Schizosaccharomyces pombe: one gene and its partner. The protein of the gene in region 1 interacts with the protein of each later gene in a biochemical or structural test. Each region holds a gene or a part of one and is shown on either strand. Other genes may lie near its edges.

Region 1 (6,230 bases):
AATAAGATAAAGTTAGATAACATCTTCTGTTCAGTTAAACTTTGAATCGTTTACAAGTACATGCTCATCGTTAACAGAAACCCGAAGAGTTTGGTAAGAGGATATTGTAAAAAAGATATTGTACTTCGTAATTTAGATGGTTGGCTATTTGATATGATCACAATTTCAACCATTTTTAAACTCTACAATCAAATTTGTTCACTTTCCTCCACTGACCGAAAAAAAACCTCAATATCTAATAAACTGCAGCAGGAATTTTGCATTATGGATATAAACAAAGTTGGCAGAAATTTTATTTCTTTAGGAAAAATACGATCAAGTAAGAGGAGAAACGCTATTTTGTCATACCAAACGATCATTAGTTCATTCCCTCATAATCATGTACAAAAACTTTTTCAAAGAACTCAATCAACAAATATGATTTATACCAAGTTAGAATATTTCGGTCATTCTTTGTTCTTTTATTTTACGGCATTTACGCTCTCGTTCAAGGATAGAAAAATCTTAATGCAAGCCGATGTATTTTTTAGACTAAAGCTCGTATTCAAGATAGCATTCTTTTTCACTCAAACAACTTTTTTAAATAAAAAAGAAAATAGGGAATTGTAGGTTTATGGATCATCAAACAAAGGAATACAGTAAACGGACTGCAGCAAAACTAAAGGTTTTTTAGAAAAAAAAAAGATGCATATTTTGTTCACTGAAAAAAAGTAATTTTAAAAGCGTTTTTGCTTAATTAGAAGGAGGTGAATAATCTTGTTTGTGCGCTTCCTTAATGTTTTCCGGGGATGACTCGTGATGAAGTTCTTTAAGCGCTTTTTGAATATCGGAAGAAATTGTTTCCAGCTGTTTTGACCGCATGTCGTACGAATAGATTACTTTGTTGTTTGAGATAATGGAAAATGTTGGAGTTTGATCGTTCGGTAAACGGTGATTAACGTTAAACTTCAAGCCGTAATTGTTGTAATACAATGAAGGAAGACATTCTTTTACAAATTTTCTAGAATTTAAAACGTTAGCAATGAACAACGCATGAAACGGAATCGTAGATCAGTGCTTCCTCACACAAAGTATTATCAAGCAGTTATTTGAGAGAATTAAACATGAATTGAGCATAAAATGTTTGAGGTACCAGTACATAGACAACATCGATGATTCTAACACGAATAAACAAAACTTACTTAGCACCCATATGTCCCAAACGGCTGTCTAAAGAATATTGAATAGATACTTCCTGAATATGTTTTGGTAAAGGAATCCCTAAAGCTCCAGCACGAATCTTGTGCAAAGATTTTTGTAATTTACCGCCTATGCTAGACATGGCGAAAATGTAAAGTTGTAGTAATAATCAGCCAAACAAAAATGAAAGAGTTTGAAACAATATGTTTTTATTCAAATATTCTGTCGGGATGAACAGAGAATATAAATATTAATGAATTAAGCCTAATGCCGTAGATTCGTACTCTCTTGTCAATTGTTGCTTGCTCTCTTTAAAAGCGAGTTCCTTGATCTCGCATTTAACGTAGTTTAGTGTGTCCTTATGCTAAATAAGGGATCACCTAACAGTGCGGAATGGGAGAAATGAGTATGAAATTCTGCAACAAGCATAGACCAAACGACACATTCTCATTATGGATTCAGAAACGCATATTACGATACGAAATATAAGTAAAAACTCGGTGGATTTTGTCCTTACAAATACAAGTTTGGCGTAAGTGAAAAGCTCTAGGAAATTCCTTCTAATAGTTGAAAGAGTTGCAAACTCGCTGCGACGTGTTGTACTTGCAGAGATTCCAACAGTGGGTAAGATTTAGGTTCATTCTTGAATTAAATACTAATGATGTTTTAGCCATTGACCTAGTTGAAATTAATGTGAATACCTCAGTCATGCCTGATGAGTTTCTAGCACATCGTCTTGGTATGATACCTCTGGATAGCTCCAACATCGATGAACCGCCTCCAGTAGGTTTGGAATATACGCGCAATTGCGATTGCGATCAGTATTGTCCCAAGTGTTCAGTCGAGTTGTTCCTAAATGCCAAATGTACTGGTGAGGGTACGATGGAAATTTATGCTAGAGATCTTGTTGTTTCTTCTAACTCTTCTCTTGGACACCCTATTCTCGCCGATCCAAAATCACGCGGACCGCTTATTTGCAAACTCAGAAAAGAGCAGGAAATTTCTCTGCGTTGCATTGCCAAGAAGGGTATAGCTAAAGAACATGCTAAGTGGTCACCTACTTCAGCTGTTGCATTTGAATACGATCCATGGAACAAGTTACAGCATACTGATTACTGGTTTGAGAATGATGCAGATGCAGAGTGGCCAAAAAGCAAAAATGCCGATTGGGAAGAACCACCGCGGGAAGGCGAACCATTCAACTTCCAAGAGGAACCGCGTCGGTTTTATATGGATGTCGAAAGTGTCGGTTCTATACCACCCAATGAAATAATGGTTCAAGGTTTACGAATTCTTCAGGAAAAGCTTGCAGTTTTAGTTCGTGATCTCGACGAAGAGCAGCCTACTCAACTTTCTGCTAACGAACTGAATATGGAGGAGAATGCAGAAATGAACTGGTCTCCCTATCAAAATGGTGAAGAAAACACGTGGTAGACTATGCTTCAATTCTTTTCTAAAAATTATCCATTTTCATCCTTTATATGTTTGTTGTTATAAAAAATACTCTAGATGCGTTTTTTTAATCATCTAAAAGTTTTTAATTTATGGCCTGCGTCCGTTCATGTCATACCTTACACATTTTTATCTAATCCTTTTTTTTTTGGCTTTTGGCTACAACATATTGTACGTATTGATATGCATATATAGAGATATATATTCCTCCCTCATATCATAATTTTGTTCTTCTTCACTTGGATTTATTATAGCTTTAGATAATTTCGTGAAAGAGAACACTTTCGGAATTGTCGTTTTGATATCTTTTTAATTTTCGGTGATTGCCTCTTGAACTCTTTGTTGGAAAGTTTATATCGGCTCACCATGCTCACAATGAATAGACAAAGTTGCTACAAGTGGACAACGAGATTACAGAATACAATTTTTTATAACGATGTTTTATTCGTTTACCAAAAATAAAGACAACAAAAAAGTTTTTAAAAACCTCAACACTTTAAAATAACATGTACAACGAGAACCGAAAGCGTCTCCTTTACTTTTATGCTGAAGAGTTTTCTTCTTCAGCGTATAATTTTTCGGTTTCCTCAATTGCAGTAACATTTGAACGTAGTTTGTTTAAAGTTTCCACGTACTCATCTTGTTCATCTGAATCAAACACAATACCACCACCGGCTTGCAAATAAACAGTTCCGTCTTTATAAACCATTGTACGGATTGCTATACAAGTATCCATGTTGTCATCTTCATAGCCCCAACGACCTACGGCTCCCGCGTATATACCACGCTTTTCTTTCTCTAATCCATAAACGAGCTGAATTGCACGGACTTTGGGAGACCCACTGACCGTTCCAGCCGGAAATATACTACGGAATGCATCAAAACGAGTTTTATCAGGTCTCAGAACACCAGAAACTTGAGAAACAAGATGCTGAACATGAGAAAACTTTTCAATAGTCATCAACTTGTCAACACTTGTTGTGTCGAGATCACAGACACGACTGACATCGTTTCTTGCCAAGTCCACCAGCATTACATGTTCAGCTCTATCCTTGACACTAGCAAGTAAATCCTTGGCATATGCCTCATCCTCTTCTTTAGTTTTTCCTCTTGGAACAGTTCCGGCAATGGGATGATTGATAATACGCCCATGCTCTGATTTAACCAGTAATTCAGGGGAAGCACCGATTATGTCGAAATCATCACAGTGGATGTAGAACATATAAGGGGACGGGTTAACTGTTCTTAAATGGCGGTACAAATTAAAAGGATGTAAATCTGTACGCCTAGCAATCCGTTGGCTTGGGACAGCTTGGAAAATATCGCCATTAAAGATATGTTCCTTGAGGTTGGAAACAAATGCTTTATACCCGTCTTCGCCTACATTTGACTTAGCTTCGTATCCTAAATGGACCTTCTTTTGCTCAGGCAAAGGAATTTCAGGACTTTCAAGTTTCTTTTTAAGCATATTGATTTTGAAAACGGCAGCTTCGTAAGCCTCTTCAATGGGTCGGCCTTGCTGAATGCAAACATGAGAAATTATCTTGACAGTCTGATAAGCATGATCGAAAGCGACTAAATCGTCGGTCATGAAAAACATAGCCTCCGGAAGACCCAAGGTATCTTCTAAAGGCATTTCAGTAGTGGGTTCAAAATATTTGATGCAATCATAAGAAACATAGCCCACAGCACCTCCACTGAAAGATGGCAGACCCTCAACAGGGGCTGTTTTAACTTCTTTCAACTCACGTTCTAAACGTGCCAAAGGATCTGTTTTTCCATTGGCCATTAATATTCTATAAGGGCTGCCAATAAAACTGTATCTTGAGACACTCTCTCCTTGAGTGACACTTTCTAAAATAAACGAATACTTCTTTCCTTGATTAAGCTTCAAGTAGGCTACTGAAGGAGTCAGCATATCGGCAGGGATTACTCCATAAATGGGAATCTTGTTAGCCTTGTGCTTTTCAGCAAGCTCTTGAACTTGTTTCAAGTCAGGATAAATCTAAAATAGTATTAGTATCATGTATTAATTTTAAGCTTCATAGCCCTAGAAACGGCGACTTTTACAGTTAAAAGCAATACAACAAAGGAAAGACCCAATCCTAAACTCGTCAATATATCCCAATACTACTATTTATTTTCCATAGGTTGGGTCTCCTTGTTAGAACAAAAAAAATCAAATTACCTTCATCTTATTGACAAGTCTATACTCGAATAAGTGCAAATTCAATAGCAAACCAAAAAAATCCCTTAAACTTGAACCGATCTATTTCCAGAAAGACAAGCAATTCCAAATTTTTCTGTAAGCGAAGAAAGAAAACAAAAGAACCAATTAATTCAACAACGTAAAGCTGCTGGAAGAAGACAACTTGTGAAAGTTGGAAAATTCATCTAAATTAGATGAAAAATATAACGGATGCGTTGGAAAACGTTATATGGTTAAATGTAAATAAAAGACTGGAAATAGGAATTAGGAAGTTATATTTAACTGCGGACAAACCGATAAAAGTATTTTGTTTTAGGATAAGATTTATTTTTTTCCTAAGCTCTTAGGCAAATTCTTAAAATGGCCAAAGTTTCGTCGAACATAAACTGCAATCTAGTTAAGATCTTGATTTCTTTTTTTTTTATTTTATTTATCTAGTCTCCTTGGTTTGATTTAAAAATGTTAAAAATAAAAGGCATTCGTTTAGATGAAAAGGGTGTGTATGTTAGCTAGAAAGTTGCAGACCTGAATAGAGGAGAAGACACTGTGTAAAAGTCCTCTACAAAATCTATGAAATTTCGTGAATCATGCGCTTATAATATTCAGAAATTGAAAAGAGGAACAACGATTATAACGAAAGAGAACTAAGAGGATTTAGGCGTTGGAATTGGTATAAGAGAATACATGACTCGCTATTAGGGCAATTCAGAATAATGTTATATTTATGCTAACAAATTTATAAATTTAATAGAGTCGACTACCCTTAGGATTTGAAGTGCGTCTTATACCGAAACGATCGAAGTGAATTAAAGTGATTGCTTGTTTAAGTGCAATTGAACAGTCAAGGCTAGTCATCTATAAATCTGAACAGTTCAACTTAATAAGCAAAAAGTAATGTTATTCGATCAAGGATTTTTCGTCTTGTGAATGATCTTGCAAGTTAATAAAAACGGAGATGAAACTCTCGAACGTATAAAAACAATCAATCGCTGGTTAAATTCAATCTTTTAGCAAAAAAGGATTTTAATTGTATAATGTATTCAATCGGGAAAAGCAAAAGAGGGTCTTTCACGCGGCACTATTTTTTTGCCTGAAAATAAATAAGTAAATAGAACAGTATCCTAAAAACAGTTTATTCAAATCCTTTTTAAACGAGTATAGGAATCTTGTTTGTTATATATTGGATCTCTGTCAGTTCAAATTCATGTTATTAAGTAGAATAAATACCTCTTTCACTTCACTCAATAAACGCAGATGCAAAAAGAAAATAGGAAAAATAGTATAGGATAAAGGTAAGATCGCACTGTTATTAAACAGTTATTTTACTTCTACAGTGTTGATTCCTCATGATTTCAAGTTAAGATATTGTCGTACAAAATCCCGATTCGGG
Region 2 (3,383 bases), 1.0 Mb from region 1:
ACCAGGGTCTGGTAGGCAGTTTATGTGCTCGAACAGTTTCTTCTGTTATAATATTTGCTTGAGCGCCCGTATCGATTAGACAGGGTATTGAGCACTTGAAGTCTGGAAGTTCAGCTTGTAATACCATTTCGTAACGTTTCCTAGTATGATTTAGGAATTTGTTAGATGAGTATTCTATTCTCGAAACATTTGTCTTCCTCAGGTTTCTGCTATTAGTGGTGTTATTTTTCTTTGAAAGGGACTCTTTTCCTAGATTTTTATTTTGCGGTTGAAAACGCTTGTGAGTTTTACCATACGAGGCTGTTCTTTTGTCCTCTAAAAAGTCATAAATTTCACTGATTTCTGATTTCCAGTAATTTCTTTCCTTTAATTTCCTTAAGGAATATGGCAGCATCCATAATATAAACAAGCGAGTATGGAAATCATCAACATTTGCTTTTGACATGAGTTTCCTTATAAATTGAACTTTGTCCAATTGATTTCTAAAACCTTCAAATGTTTTAGTTAAACGATCACCTTTGTTGGATCCTTGTACTTTCCCTGTTTGTCTGAGTAATTCTTGCCATGTAAGACTTCCATTCTCAGAAAACATGCGTTCAGCGAATTGTTGCTCTAATTCTTCTAGGTGATTCAATGTATACTGTCTTTTAGTATGCTCATTTGGGAATAATGAAGGGTATTCAGTAAAGTGTTGATCAAGTTTTGAAATGTAACTTTCAACATCCTTATTTGGATCGAATTTCCCTATCTCTGGTACATGCTTCGATAATATTTTTGCAAAAAGGTTTATTAAATGTTCGTCTGATGTTTGAATTCCATCCAAATTCTCTGGTCTCCATCGTTTTGCTCTTGCTTTCATATAACGATAATTTGCGTAGGACATTGTATATGTTTCCCTTTGGGAGATTTCAAAAGGGATAACAGTCCTTCCAAAGTTCCTTCTCCTTTGAACCCAGAAGGAGAGAAATATATATATTTATGATATATATTTATTCAATAATTCCTTTTTCCTAAAAGGAGTTAATTGTAGATCACAAGAGTTCAGTTATTGTAAGCTACGCAGTTTGGTATCTGATTTAAGGATACGTAGAACTGCGGTGAGTTTTCCTTGTGATCTATTATATTACGATACACAGGTTGTATAAGTAGCAACTGAGTATAGGTATTGTATTAACTGGGTTATAATGTTACCTATCACTAATATAGCTCATAACTGAACTGAGGAACGAGGTTCAGCAGTAGCTCTATTTATAGTATTCAGATAATATTGATCTTAATAGATTATCATTAAGATCAATCTCCATATCGTATCATACATGGTACGATATATAATTAGAACATGTGACATATAGTGATACTCAACGTAGTGTATTATAGCGTAGTGTAGTATTGCTGACATTAAGTTCCTTTTAAGAGGGTTTACACGTTTGATGAACTCATTAACGATGCGTTGGGATGCGACAAGTTTAACCTGAGACGTGGTACAATAGCTAGTAGTTAATTTCTACAAAGTAGCAAAGGTAACAGACATGCTTATAGAGAGATGATAAAGTAATAGTAACAAATAGACTCTCAATCAGTCAATTTTATCAAATTAAATTATTGATTTAAAAAATAATTTGAATAATAAAAGAAAAAGTCTCTGAAATGTTTCAGTGGAGCGTGCGTTCGATCTTTCTATGAATTAAACATATAAGATGTAAATAGTGCATTGTAGTGTAAAGTAATGAGATTTAACACGGATTCACAATTCGAACGCTGACTAGGTGTATGAGAATTTCCTCTGTCAACTTCCAATTTTTTAGATTCGCCCTTGTCCCCCTTTTCTCCTTTGGCAATTGCATACAAAATGTCTGACTATGAAGAGGATGAGGCCTTTGGAATGGACGGTGCTGTTATGGAGGAGGAAGTCGATGAACTGGAGATGATCGATGAAAATGGGCAATCACAGCAAGGCGTCTCTCATCCTGGTGAACCTTCGACTACCGTTATTACTGAAGATGTTGCTAGCTCAAAAACAGCTCAATCTGGTAAAGCGGTAGCAAAGGAAGACCGAACCACTACTCCTTATATGACAAAGTATGAACGCGCTCGTATTTTGGGAACTCGAGCACTTCAAATTAGGTGAGTAGATGCGTGGATTTACAATAAAGCGTCGTACAAAGGCACTAGCGTAATTGCTTAAGTCCTGAATCGTTATGCTGTTTTGCAGTCATGGAGTTTAAAAAAAAACGATATAGTTAAAAATTTTTTTTTTATTTTCTAGTTAGGATTGTCTGATTATGATGAATTTTGTTTCTTTTCAATTGAGCTTTCTTTTAATTTCTAACTCTTTATTTTAGTATGAACGCACCTGTTTTAGTTGATTTGGAAGGTGAAACTGATCCTTTGCAAATTGCCATGAAGGAGCTTGCACAAAAAAAGATTCCTCTACTAGTCCGGCGATATTTACCCGATGGCAGTTATGAAGACTGGAGTGTAGCGGAGCTCATTTAATTTAAGAAGTGTTCCAATTTCAAATACGTTCTATCGCTCGTTCGATTCACCTCGTTCTTTTCCTAATTCTTTTGTTTTACGTGAGCGAAGCCGTTTGGCTATGGTAAAGAAAAGAAAATAAAAGCAAAAGGACTAAATTTTTAGCTCTATACCATTAATTTACGATTTAGAAATAGGGACGTATTTATCCTCGGGAGAAAAAAAAGGCTTGTGCTACTATTCTAGAAATCTTCTTTTCTTGTGTCAAAAAATTTTTTGGGGCATTTTAGCTCTCGTTCTTCAATGAATGCATTTAATAATAACTTTTTCCGATAGTTTTAGTAGCTGTGTAAATGTAAACTCATTGATCACGGAGTTTTTTGTACAACTGTTAATCTGAAAAAAATTCTAGAGCACAGAAAACTCAAAATTGCTTACTACACACCTATCATTCAGATATGTTCAAATGTTCTATTACTATCAGTTTCAAAGCATGGATTGCGAAATTTACAAGGTATAATATCTAATGAGTGTGCTCATGAGATGGATGCGAATGTTCACCAGAAGACCCATTTAAGTGTTGCCATCTATGAACCTGATTAGAGTCAGAGGAAAGTGGTGTCACGATACAACTGGAAAGGGCAGGGATAGCATCCAAAACAGTCTTTTCTACCTTTTGTGCCAATTCGGACGACTGTTGAGATGTGAAGGATGGAGGAACAGATATTATCACATGCATGGCATGTGCATTTCCTAATATAGTAACGATTTTATATGGAAGCTTTTCTCCCTTCAATAAAGCATCAGTTACTGCGATACGTAACTCTTCGGAAGGTGCTCGGTCCAAAAGCTGCAAGAAGGCCTTTTTAGAAGAGTTGAAGCCGGCACTAAAAACGACAATACTTACT

What was found. The genes of interacting proteins can lie anywhere in the genome.
Region 2: the proteins of rpb3 (region 1) and rpb6 form a complex in vitro, tested with the Schizosaccharomyces pombe proteins (2 studies listed by BioGRID).

The regions. Positions count from the first base shown.
Region 1 is NC_003421.2:1,782,381-1,788,610, reverse strand, and holds rpb3 (DNA-directed RNA polymerase II complex subunit Rpb3), read left to right. Parts: upstream 1-1,612; 5' UTR 1,613-1,631; coding exon 1,632-1,711; exon of another isoform or gene 1,712-1,753; coding exon 1,754-1,803; exon of another isoform or gene 1,804-1,849; coding exon 1,850-2,613; 3' UTR 2,614-3,172; coding exon of another isoform or gene 3,173-4,636; 3' UTR 4,637-4,819; coding exon of another isoform or gene 4,820-4,825; 3' UTR 4,826-5,714; downstream 5,715-6,230. Other genes in the region: SPOM_SPCC1442.11C (uncharacterized protein), read left to right, coding at 61-609; mrp49 (mitochondrial 54S ribosomal protein mL61), read right to left, coding at 733-1,000, 1,182-1,321; trp3 (anthranilate synthase component I), read right to left, coding at 3,173-4,636, 4,820-4,825. UniProt on the Schizosaccharomyces pombe protein: DNA-dependent RNA polymerase catalyzes the transcription of DNA into RNA using the four ribonucleoside triphosphates as substrates. Component of RNA polymerase II which synthesizes mRNA precursors and many functional non-coding RNAs.
Region 2 is NC_003421.2:781,252-784,634, forward strand, and holds rpb6 (DNA-directed RNA polymerase subunit Rpb6), read left to right. Parts: upstream 1-1,785; 5' UTR 1,786-1,849; coding exon 1,850-2,124; intron 2,125-2,342; coding exon 2,343-2,496; 3' UTR 2,497-2,826; downstream 2,827-3,383. Other genes in the region: Tf2-12 (retrotransposable element/transposon Tf2-type), read right to left, coding at 1-883; mmt1 (mitochondrial iron ion transporter), read right to left, coding at 2,999-3,383. UniProt on the Schizosaccharomyces pombe protein: DNA-dependent RNA polymerases catalyze the transcription of DNA into RNA using the four ribonucleoside triphosphates as substrates.